Caenorhabditis elegans: one gene and its partners. The protein of the gene in region 1 binds, or shares a complex with, the protein of each later gene. Each region holds a gene or a part of one and is shown on either strand. Other genes may lie near its edges. A codon is read from its position in the direction of its gene.

Region 1 (3,894 bases):
TCCTTAGCATCAATGGAGATGTTTCTTCTGACGAAGAAGCAGTATCTGTAAAAGAAGAATCTTCTGATGAAGCGGGAGTTAACACTTCCCAAGAAGTTATTCAGAATGATGATACTGAAGAATCTGAAAAATCGGAAACTATATCTCGTGAAGTGTCCAACACCGATGAATTCGGGATTGGAAACAATGTGGGATTTACTGCAAAAGTTGATGATCTTATTGAAAAAATCGCTGAAGCCGTTAAGGATCAACAAATATCAGAGACCACTGAAATTCGTTACAGTGATCCACTTGGGGCATTGGAACCTCTCGTGGGTGAACCCAACGAAATTGAAAAATCAGAACTTTTGTCTGAAATTCGCCAATTACGATCTGAAATCGAAGAGATGAAAGAAACGGAAGTGAAACAAAATTCAACGGTATAGTTTTTTGTAGGGATAAAATTAGTTGAAAATGTTTTTTTCTAGATAAGACTTCTCAAACTGAAGTTCGACGAGATTGACGAAAGGGAGAGACAGAAGGAATTACAGGTAAATTTTTGGAAGGAACTTAAGGCATCCATGGCATCGGTGGCAGGCAGGCGTACATGCCTGCCAACTCTCAATTTTTTACATTTGGAAGTGAACTCCAGTGCAATTTGAATAATGTAGAGCTACTTTGAACCAAAAAACTCCTGAAACTAAATGGATTTTAATTTTCGCAACATATTTTCTGCGCAAATATCTCGTAGCGAAACCTACAGTAACTTTTTCAATTCGAACTAAACTGAAAGATTTGGGGTTACAGTAGTCATTTACATATTACTGTGGATTTCTCTTCGAGATATTTTGAGCGTTAAATATGTTGCGTAATAGGCATTCTCAGTTGGAAATATCTACATAATAATTTAAAAAAATCATAGGCTTTAAACAAAAGATTTTGTGAAAAATCAGTCTCATTTTGGATTACAATTCGGGAGTAGCTTTCCTAAAACTCCTCCCTATCAATATATATTCCATCAAAAATTTGTTTTAATTTCCAGCGTTACACTCCGATTGCAACTGGAATCTGCGGTGCTTGGCGGCTCTCCGAGATCAATAAGTATAATGAAACACTCAAAACCCGTGGAGTATCGTTCCCAAATCGTCTGAAAACTCTTGCTGCTTACACCGTATACAACTTCGATGGTACTTATCTGAAATCTCACAATCAAGTTTTTTGTAAAACGTTTAACAGTGGCTGTTTGAAACTTGGAACTCATGAGATAACCGGTGGAATTGTTGTATCAACCTTCATTTATAGAAATAAAATGATAACAATTTGGAAGAATAAAGATGGAACTTCTTGTGTAAGAAAGGAGAGATACATTAAAGATGGAAAATTGTACAATGTGCACACAAACAATTCCGGCGAAAGGACTATACGCATTTTTGAACGAGTTCAGGGAAAATCAGATATCTTGTACTCAATTGCAAACGTCGGAGGACTCTATCTCAAATTTTGGTGATCACCTGCTTTCTTCAATCCACACAACTTGGTCTCGCAACGAAATATCATCTTAATGATTCTCAAATTCACAGCATTAATTAATTCGCTATTTTATTCAATAATTTTTAATTTTCTCCGTCCATTTGTCTTTCAAAATTTTTTAAAGCAATTTTTAATCATTTTAATCGTTCTCCGTGGGAAATAATGAATCTTTTCGAAATTCTGTGCCTGTAAATAATGATTTCAAGGGTACTGTAGTTTTTTTTAAACAAGTGCGCTCTATTGCACACCGCTGGAATACGCGCGAAAAATGGGAGATTTCATTTTTGCTCGCTTTTTTTGCATTTCAAGCATTTTTTTAAAATTAAAGCAAGAATATTTTCAGTTTCAGAATTACATTTTTTAGAGATGGCTTCCAGCTCGACCGCATATTATCTGAAAGACGCCGGATTCCATATTCGCAATATTCCGAAAGCTTGGAATGATTGGAACTTGTTCCATGTCTTCCAAAACTTTGGAAAAGTCAGTTATTGCCGTGTTGTTGGACAATCCAACGATGGTCAAGTTCAATTGGGGTAAGATAGTGAGACTCTAGAAACGATTCATTTAAAATCTTCAGATTTGTGAACATGATGTCGGTAGCAGATGCTGATGAAGTTCGCAAGAATTTGAACGACGGAAATCTGATCGGCGAAAATTTCACGTTGAAGGTGAGCGTTGCGAATATATAAATTCAAATTAAAACTGTAATTTTAAGGTTACCGATCATAAGAACGTCGGAGGATCTCTTCTCCCAATGGCTTCCAATTCCGTTCAGAAGCTTGTATCATCTCCACCATCGAAAAGCGGACCAGTTCTTCTATCATCATCCTGGCTTCCACTCAACAAGGATATCGAGGTTTCTTACTTTTCCTTCAGCTTATATTAAATTTTCAATTTAGGTCGAAGTTGTCGACTATCTTCCATCCTCATCAGTGGCTCCAGATCTTTTCGCGTTGACTCTTCTCCGCATAAATGATTCGTCAATGAAAGAAAAATATGATTCAATGCACGAGAAAATGAACGCGTATGCTCAAATTGTTCCATTCGATTCGGAGCTCGAAATTGGCTACGATGGAGTCTTCCGTGATGCTCCCCGTTCCGTTCGACGCGTTCGACGCATCTCAGCCACCAAGCTTTATCTCGTTGATTTTGGAAAAATTATCAATTATGAGAAGGCAAAATGCTTCCAATTGCCAAAAGTTTTCCAGTCGATGCCGACAAGGGTAAGAGTTCCATTCAAATGTTTAACATATTTTTTCTATTTATTTTCAGGTTTCCTTGTGTGGACTAGATGGTCTTACCTGGTCACCAGTCGCCATTCCATCATTTGATAATATTCGCGAGGTTGTTAAAAAATGGGGACAAATGGAAAATTCGACGCTTCACGCCATGGCTTGTGGATTTCAAGGCTCTATTAACATGATCAATCTGTTCTGTGGAAAATGTGCGTTTTTTCTTTTGAAAATTCCCCTCATAATAATTTTTACAGCGATTCTTGCTGACCGTCTTCAACGTAAAGGTGTCTGTGAATACTTGCCACGCAGTCAGCAGCCACACTATGCATACTCCCGCGAGACTCTTCTTCAGCACAATAATTCTGGAGTGGTGAGATTTGATGATTTAAAGGGATTTTCAGTTTTAATTTGGCTTTATTTTCAGACTGCTCAAATTTCGAACGATGCTGATGTCGTCAAAGATCTACTCAAGAAGATTGATGGAGTGAAGAACATGCTCCGTGAGCTCGAGCTGTAAATCTGTCCCATTTTTTTTGTCGAAATTACATTGAATCTATGATGTTGTCAAAAAAATGAACATTTTAATTCAGTGTCAGATTTTATAAGAACAACAACAAGAAAAATAACAACGAGAAAACAACAAAAAGAAAAGAAAATCAACAAGAAAAAAATCAAGAAACTTTGAAAAGTGAAAACTAATCGCTGTTCCAGGCGTCGTAATTCAAGAAGTTGGTTACAACATTGTGTCGCATCCTTTCCATCTTGCCGGAAGCTTCACGAATTTTTCCTGCCAATTCAGAGGAAGATCCGTTTTTAAGCGTCTGAAATGAAATTAATATTATATTTTGATAACATTGTTCGCGGTTACATTAGCGCTCATGGCCAGGGTAACACCGTCCAGAACGATTCCGATGGCTGCAACGCTCTGCAGCATTCCTTTCATAAGTGCATTCGTGAGATGGCCCTAAAAACGAAGGTAAAAATTTAAATTTCAAAAAAACAACTATTCTACCATGGAAGATGCGGCCATTTTAATTCCGAATCCTGTGATTCCGGCGAGAGAAACACCAAAAAGTGTTTTCAAATGAGACTGGACATCGTCGAAGTTTTTGAAAATCTTTGACGATTGCTTGTCCTCCACAAATCTCCT
Region 2 (3,350 bases), on another chromosome or scaffold:
CAGCTGATTACGCATCTAACGACCTGATGAACAGTTTCAATGGAGCTACAAATTCCGCGATCCCATCACTTCGCGAGCTTGCCACCTATGCGTCACGCTATGGTCCCGCATATCTTCGCGAACGATTCGGAAGCCATGATTCCCAACTTGAGCGTATGCTTTATGGCGGCAGTGGACCACAGATCCCATCACGTGGAGGAGGAATTCCCATAGATTACAACATGAACATTGCTTCGAATCACTGGAACCGAGGAATTGGCTCTCCGATGGGAATTATGTCGCGGGATGTTGATTCCTATCAACACGACGATGCGGCCAAAGCAAACAAAAAGACCACTACCGGCTCGCCGAGCACGACGAGCACACGGAAACCTCGGAAAGCTAGGAAGCCAACCAAGAAGACTGTTGCCGCAGCTCCTTCGTCTAGCTCGAACACATCGACTACGGCAAAGCCTGCAAAAACTGTAAAGACATCGGAGAAGTCTGCCTGAAAACAAGAATAGAATCAATTTTTAAAAATGTACAAAATCAAACGCCCTACAAATCATGTGTGTGAAGAAGAATAATAACTAACATATCTATTTATATTTACCGAATAAATATATATTCATCAATTAACCTGAAGAACAAACGAATTCGGCTACAGGCGTCGATCAGTCTCGAATCTAGTAACAACAAGAGAGCAATACGAAAACCGGTAAATCAATAGGGGGAAGCGAAACAGTAGGTACAAATTGGAGGGGAAGCACCAATACATTAGGTGGGGGGTACGACTTGAAAAATGAGCTGATTTTCGAATAGTTAAAGCGATGATCGTGTCCGAAAAACAGTTCATTTTTCAAGACAACATTGAGACTGGGAGTACGGGGAAGCTCATTTACGGTGAGAGGAATTGGTGAGATCTTTAGAATATGCTTAAGGAGTTGGGGTGGCTGGAGAAGTTCCTGTAGCCTCCGTGCCGGGATTCGATGGAGAAGTCGTTGCGGCTGGTCCCTTTTCCTTCACTGGTGCTGGATCCTTGGCTGGAAGACATATGCGTGGCTTGACAGTCGATGAGGTGCGAGCCGACGAGTCCTTGTGAACTTCGTATCTGGAAATATTTTACTTAGATAGCAAATACTAAAATTGTAAAATTACCTCAAAATCTCAGTATCCGGAATGCTCAATTTCTGCTTCAAAACCTGTCCGATGCGAAGATTGACATCATCGCGAGTAGCATCACGAGTCCACAAGGAAACCTTGTCACCCTTTTGACGAACATTCACGACAGCTCCGCAGATGTAGTCTCCGTACTCGTCGAATTGCTCTCCAACAATAGCCATCAACAGCTCCAACCAGTAGTGATCGAGCAATTGCGTTCTTCTCTGAAGCTTCTATGATTCATTGAATAAAATATATTTCTCAAAACGTACTTGCTTATCGACAACAACCAACCAACGTCCACCTTGAACGTTGTTGACGTCCTCCCACATTGGCTTGATTCCTTCCTTGAACAAGTAATAATCGGATCCCCAGTTCAATCCTCCGGCAGACTGAATGTGATTGTACAGCGACCAGAAGTCCTCGACAGTGTCGAAAAGTGAAACCATCTGGAAAAAATCGATAAAAGACGTATTTAAAAATCTTCTACCTTCAGACAATCCTCCCATTCCTTGTTACGGTCAGCTTTCAAGTACCAGAGAGCCCAGCGATTCTGGAGGGGGTGTCTGGTGAGAAGCTCTGGAGGAACTGAAGCATCGGACGCATTCACATCGCCGGAAGCTGACAATGCTTTGTTTTCCGCTACGGATGTGCTCATTTAGCTGAAAATAGGTAATATTATATACGATTAGAGCTCGGAAAACGATAAAATAGAGAAGAGTATGAATTTGGTTCAAATAACTCGGATTTTATAGGAAATTTTGTTTTACTGCACATTTTCGGCTAGTTTCCAAGCTTTTTAGATTTTTCAAGTGTAATTGGTAACATCGGGCACAATAAATTGATATTAAAGCTTGGAAAACAATAAAACAAAGTAGAAAATGAATTCAGCTCAACTTCGACGAAAAATCATCAAATGATTCGTTTCCCATGAAATTCCTAGTAGTTTTTAAACATTCTAGCTGTTTTTTAATCGTAAAAGTGAAAAAAAAAAGAGCGATTTCCCCGAAAAACCTTGGAAAATGAAGAAATGGAAAGAAAGGCGCGAATCCTGAAATTCAAACACCAGACACACGCAAAACGAGTGTAACCGTAGTTTTTGTCGTTGCGAAGTATCTTGTCTGCGGAATTGCGCCCCCCTTTAAACAAAACAGCGGAAAATATGAAAATTATTTTTGTATTAAAATAAAAATCGAGTTGTTTAGGTAAAATTTTTCAAATTTTATTGAAAATTCGGTAAAATAATGAAATTAATCGCTGAAAACTCGTTATTCGCACAGAAATTGAGCTCTTTCAGGGAATTCAGGCTAAAAAATTATATTTTCAGGTTTAAAATTCAAAAATTTATTTTCCAGATTGCAGTCGATAATCTGAGTTTTCCCAAAAAATGTGCATTGTTTACAGCCTGTGGTTCTCAATTTCTCCAATTTATCCACGAGTGCGTCTCCGTTTTCTTTTCTCCTTCTGCCGCATTCAGCGTCGCCGTCGTCGTCAGGAATTCATGAGCCGTCCCGGTGTCTCGAGCTCTTGTGAGCATACACACAGACACATACAGCAGCAGCCTCCACAACATGCACATATAAATATATCGGTCTGGGTGTTGCTGCTGCTGCCGCTGGGCGCCTTTTCCCTCTCTGTGTGCCTCAACTCGTCGCACATATCTCTCTCTCTCTCTCTCACTTTGCCTTGTTTTCCCTGCCCATCGTCCCGTAAAAAGGTGGCCAGACAGTTCTCCGAATCGCAGAGACGCAGCAAGCGTTGCCCCGAGGCGCCATTCGTCTAACCTACTGCGTCTGACACCCCGCCGTCAGACGACGTCGGGGGCCCTCCGACGACGACTTCTTTCGCTGTATTTCTCTCTCTCCTCCGTCTCCTCCTCCTCTCCACCACATCGATTTTCCCGTTTTAGAGTGTTGGCGGTGAGCCATAGTCACGAATACTTTGTCTATTTTTTCGGCGACGGCTGTTGGGCTTCTCTTCTCTGCGTCTCTCGCACTCTTGTCCGCCTTCTGACCGTCATAATTACCACGTCGTCCACGTAAAGTCTTCGGAGAGCGCCACGCCCCCACACACACATACACACAACATTTTCGTAGCCGCATTATTCTCCTAACAATCATCGTTTTTTGCTAGTTTTCAGTAGTTCCACAGACTTAAAGGAGGATCACCGAAATTCGAGACTTGGCTTTTTGGGACCCAAAATGTTCCAA
Region 3 (3,760 bases), on another chromosome or scaffold:
CATTAGTTCAGCCACTCCACTTTCAATGTATTCGTTGACTACTTTGTTGATTTCAGAACGAAGACGATCTAAAAGACAGAATAAAAATTGAAAGGTTCGAGTTTTAATGTTTATCAATCACTCACCAGTAACTTCAGTTTTCTTTGGAGTCATCAGCTGTGAAACAATGTTACTAACATCTCCTTGACGTCCTTGTGGACGGGCATTTGCGATATCCAGATCATGCAAAGACACGTTTTGAACAATATCTTTAGACTTTCTAACATCTCCTTTCGGCATTGGCACAAACTCGTCAGCCTCGAGGTCAAACTCAGATGCATATACATCACACCGTCCAACTCGTTTAACGATTCCTGAGTTCGCTTCAATATAGATGACATCACCAACTTCTACTCGTTGCTTCAAAATCGAGTCATAGATGCTTGGATCCAATTTCAGTTGCTTGCTTCCTTTTGCTGTTTTCAAAGAAAGGACAAGATGAGAGATGGTTTTTCCCATTCCGGAATTATCTGAAGCTTCGACGGGGCTCAACTCTGTAACTTCTCCCTCGTACACATCTTTGGTTTCCTTAACACGCAGACCAATAGCTCTTCTGAAACTTCTCATGAGCACTTCCGTTTTCTTTACTTCATTGGAAAAGACCTCGCTTGCAACAAGTGGCACAAATGGAACGCCGTCACCCAACTCCTGTGACATTGCAAGCGCGATTGCAGTTTTTCCAGTGGCGGGTGGTCCAGCAATCAATACAGCTCGTCCGGCCATACACTTCAATCGAATCATATCAACTACAATTGATGCAGCTGTTCTGGCGGGTGCTTGGCCAACGAATCCAGCAGCCTGTAGAAATAATATTTTATTTAGCATAGGCTTTATTTCATAAGTAGTTATTGAAATTGGACAATTGAAAAAGAAACCTCATAGTGAGCTTCTTGTGTTTCTGTGTCAATTCCGAGTCCCTTGACGTGACTGTGAGCCGCAATGCGTTTAATTTGCTTTGGAGTTGGTTTTACCTGAAAAATTCGATTTAAAATACTAGGTTTTTCAAAAATTAGCTCACTTCTTCGATTGGTGCAAGTCTTGAAGAAGAAGTACCAGATATTGCCTCATCGACTTCCATATCCATTATTTTACGAAAGCGTCAGCGTGAAAATAGAATGAAAAATAGAAATTTAGGGAAAGAAAATAAAATTCGAAAATGTGTGCAGCCATCTCATTTTACGCACAAATGCAGACAAACAGCAATGGAAGGAGACCCGAAGAACTCGGGGGATGTCCAACTGGGGGGATTACCAACTCGGGGGATTGGCCCCGCCCACAGAACCGTGGCTTGCATTACGCCCATTTCTGCAACTGCCGCACGGTTTTAAAACTGTATTTTTCTCAATAGAGCGAGAATTAACAAGAAAAAATAATTTTAAAACCGTGCGGCAGTTGCAGAAATGGGCGTATTGCAAGCCACGGTTCTGTGGGCGGGGCCAATCCCCCGAGTTGGTAATCCCCCCAGTTGGACATCCCCCGAGTTCTTCGGGTCTCAATGGAAGGGAAAGAGGAAAAAGAGATAATATTCTTATTTGAAGTAAATGTCAAATATAAGCCGAGAGTAACTTTTCTAAATAAAATGAATTTGCGAAAGTTGTATAATCACCAATAGAGATCCCAAGAAATTAAAAATGGCATTCCATTCGGGAACCTGTTAATGTAAAATAGCAATGTACCTTTAAAGTACGGTAGCACAACTTTGAGACAATTATCTGGAATTTGTCCCAAATCCTGCTCCCTCGACAATCCTTCGAAATCGAATATTCTGTCTCAGTTATTTTTGGAACAATGGCTGCGCTTTTTGAAGAGAATGATTCTTATTCGGTGAGTTTCTGGATTAACAAGAATAAAGTATAATTCAAGAATTTTAGGATTCCGAAAATGAAGAAGATTTTAGCGGCTTTTTGAGTGAAATCGAAGAAAATGAAAACGAGGATGAATTTGAAAACGACGATGAGTTTGAAGACGATGATGAGCTTGAAAATGTGGATGAACTTGAAGATGACGAATTATCCTCTGAAGAAGTGGACATCCCTTCCGAAAATGAAGTAATTGTCGAGCTTCACGATGGTCAAGGTGAGCAGTTTTATAGTTTTTTGCTCTTTTTCTGTAACAAAATATTTTCCAGCCGAAGTGGAGGAATCACTTCTTGATGCTCTTCTTGGAAAAGCATTGGCAGGAGATCAGATGAATTCTCGAATTGAAGGACTCTTCGAAGACTTGGACTCTTCAGTTGAACCTGATATCATCGATCGCAGCGAGTTAGAGGATGTGGACAGTGGTATTAGTGTTGGAGCTGTTAGTTCTTCCTCTGCAGAAACTCAAGCTTCTGATGCGAAATGCAAAAATAAGGATGCTTTCGACATGTCTTCACTTAAGAAGTATATGCAGTACATCACCGAAGAAGAGCATGCCGTATCAGTAGAAGATATTCCAGATTTTGCTTCCAAAAAGTAGGTCTTGAAGCTTTTCTGAATATTTTCTATTTCAACTCTTCATCCTTCCAGAAATGTGTATGGAACCAGCTTCAACGTTCGCAACGGAATCATGTCTCGTCCACCTCGTTTCGAATTTGCTCGTCACGATCAACGCTGGATCGATTCATGTGTATCCATGGCATACGAGAAAGACAAGACATTGAAAGAATTGATCACACTGGGAAAGTTGACAACAACTGTCAAGGCTGGAGCCAAAATTGAATTCAGAACCAAATTCACGGATGTTCATATTCGAAGTGCGGATGAAATTAACTTGATGGAGACACATGACATCCAACAGATAATCCGTGATGCATTGAATTCAAAGCGTCTCGCCGTGGTTCTCTTTGGTATTGGGAAAGACGGAAAAGTTACTGGATGCCACATGGGTCCTGGTCAACAAGATAATCTGCGTCTTGCTCTGGATACTGCTGTTCAAACCGAGTTTGCACCTCCAATTGAGAATATTCTCGACGTAGTTGACATGAACTTCGTTCCAGTTGAAGAAATGGATGAGACGTTTCTGATTGTCATTCGAGTGAAACAACTCCGTAATCAAGTCTATCGTTTAGAATCATCTGTTTGAAGTTGTTAATCTTCTGTTTTTGTTTTGTTCGTTGTTTCGCTTAATATCGCCTCCATTATATCTGTATCATGAAGTTTTGTACCAATTTCTGATTGTTGTTTAACGATATTCGTAGTATTCCTGCATGTGATTTGCTATTTTTATTTTTGAACGGTCGGTTAATTTTGAACAAAACAAGCAATTTGATTCCAGATAAATCAGATCATGTCTCGAAAATGCACAATTCGCTACGGAACCTCAATAATGCCAAGTTTTGCGAAGCTCATAGATGTTGCTCCTCCAACGGAAGCGGAATTTAATAATCCGTGCCTATTTCCCGAGAAACGAATTGCTGAGAATTCTGAGACTTCAACTCTCCGACGACCTTTTCTTTCAGCAATCCTTTCTGCGATCAGTGACCAAAAAGCATTATATTTGTGGCAGAAAGCAAAAATTGACGAAATGGGATTGAGTGCATTCAAATCAAGTATGACGGAAAGAATGTCACTGGGAACCAAAACTCATACAAAAGTTGAAGAGATGCTAAAATTAGGACACCACGAGTCAAAATTGAATAATCTTGTAATTATTGAATGCATTAAAAACACTGCAAAAATATTTATCTGGTCAATTTTCAGATCGATAATGAGAAAAATGCTGCTATCAGAAATTTCATGAA

What was found.
Region 2: tofu-6 (region 1) and ife-3 share a complex: the UniProt entries of both Caenorhabditis elegans proteins name them as parts of the tost-1 variant of the PETISCO complex.
Region 3: the proteins of tofu-6 (region 1) and tofu-1 are in contact, whole or in part, in a crystal structure (PDB 9G6Z), measured with the Caenorhabditis elegans proteins. Residues at the interface, in NP_001293507.1 of Caenorhabditis elegans: Ser259 (codon at 2,833), Asn262 (codon at 2,842), Ile263 (codon at 2,845), Val266 (codon at 2,854), Trp270 (codon at 2,866), Met273 (codon at 2,875), Glu274 (codon at 2,878), Ser299 (codon at 2,953), Leu301 (codon at 3,004), Arg304 (codon at 3,013), Leu305 (codon at 3,016), Lys308 (codon at 3,025), Val310 (codon at 3,031); in NP_505568.3 of Caenorhabditis elegans: Glu85 (codon at 2,179), Ser86 (codon at 2,182), Leu87 (codon at 2,185), Leu88 (codon at 2,188), Asp89 (codon at 2,191), Leu91 (codon at 2,197), Leu92 (codon at 2,200), Gly93 (codon at 2,203), Lys94 (codon at 2,206), Ala95 (codon at 2,209), Leu96 (codon at 2,212).

What each region holds. Positions count from the first base shown.
Region 1 is NC_003280.10:5,419,404-5,423,297, forward strand, and holds tofu-6 (Embryonic developmental protein tofu-6), read left to right. Parts: upstream 1-1,844; 5' UTR 1,845-1,875; coding exon 1,876-2,042; intron 2,043-2,086; coding exon 2,087-2,177; intron 2,178-2,224; coding exon 2,225-2,365; intron 2,366-2,408; coding exon 2,409-2,732; intron 2,733-2,781; coding exon 2,782-2,953; intron 2,954-2,998; coding exon 2,999-3,114; intron 3,115-3,168; coding exon 3,169-3,261; 3' UTR 3,262-3,334; downstream 3,335-3,894. Other genes in the region: EEED8.15 (PHR domain-containing protein), read left to right, coding at 1-419, 468-530, 1,022-1,486; F07F6.7 (Apolipoprotein L, 1), read right to left, coding at 3,440-3,565, 3,613-3,708, 3,757-3,894. UniProt on the Caenorhabditis elegans protein: Component of the pid-1 and tost-1 variants of the PETISCO complexes, which have roles in the biogenesis of a class of 21 nucleotide PIWI-interacting RNAs (piRNAs) that possess a uracil residue at the 5'-end (also called 21U-RNAs) and embryogenesis, respectively.
Region 2 is NC_003283.11:6,021-9,370, forward strand, and holds ife-3 (Eukaryotic translation initiation factor 4E-3), read right to left. Parts: upstream 1,810-3,350; 5' UTR 1,799-1,809; coding exon 1,631-1,798; intron 1,590-1,630; coding exon 1,413-1,589; intron 1,374-1,412; coding exon 1,138-1,373; intron 1,091-1,137; coding exon 916-1,090; 3' UTR 568-915; downstream 1-567. Other genes in the region: idpp-2 (Intrinsically Disordered Protein, expressed in Pharynx), read left to right, coding at 4-491; B0348.10 (uncharacterized protein), read right to left, coding at 2,555-2,719. UniProt on the Caenorhabditis elegans protein: Recognizes and binds the 7-methylguanosine-containing mRNA cap during an early step in the initiation of protein synthesis and facilitates ribosome binding by inducing the unwinding of the mRNAs secondary structures.
Region 3 is NC_003283.11:9,979,574-9,983,333, forward strand, and holds tofu-1 (Schlafen-like protein 1), read left to right. Parts: upstream 1-1,573; 5' UTR 1,574-1,827; coding exon 1,828-1,863; intron 1,864-1,910; coding exon 1,911-2,115; intron 2,116-2,167; coding exon 2,168-2,492; intron 2,493-2,546; coding exon 2,547-3,102; 3' UTR 3,103-3,193; downstream 3,194-3,760. Other genes in the region: ruvb-1 (RuvB-like 1), read right to left, coding at 1-68, 126-837, 915-1,010, 1,058-1,123; C27H6.9 (Mitochondrial genome maintenance exonuclease 1), read left to right, coding at 3,307-3,663, 3,720-3,760. UniProt on the Caenorhabditis elegans protein: Component of the trimeric PUCH (precursor of 21U RNA 5'-end cleavage holoenzyme) complex, that acts as an endoribonuclease processing the 5'-end of precursor Piwi-interacting RNAs (piRNAs).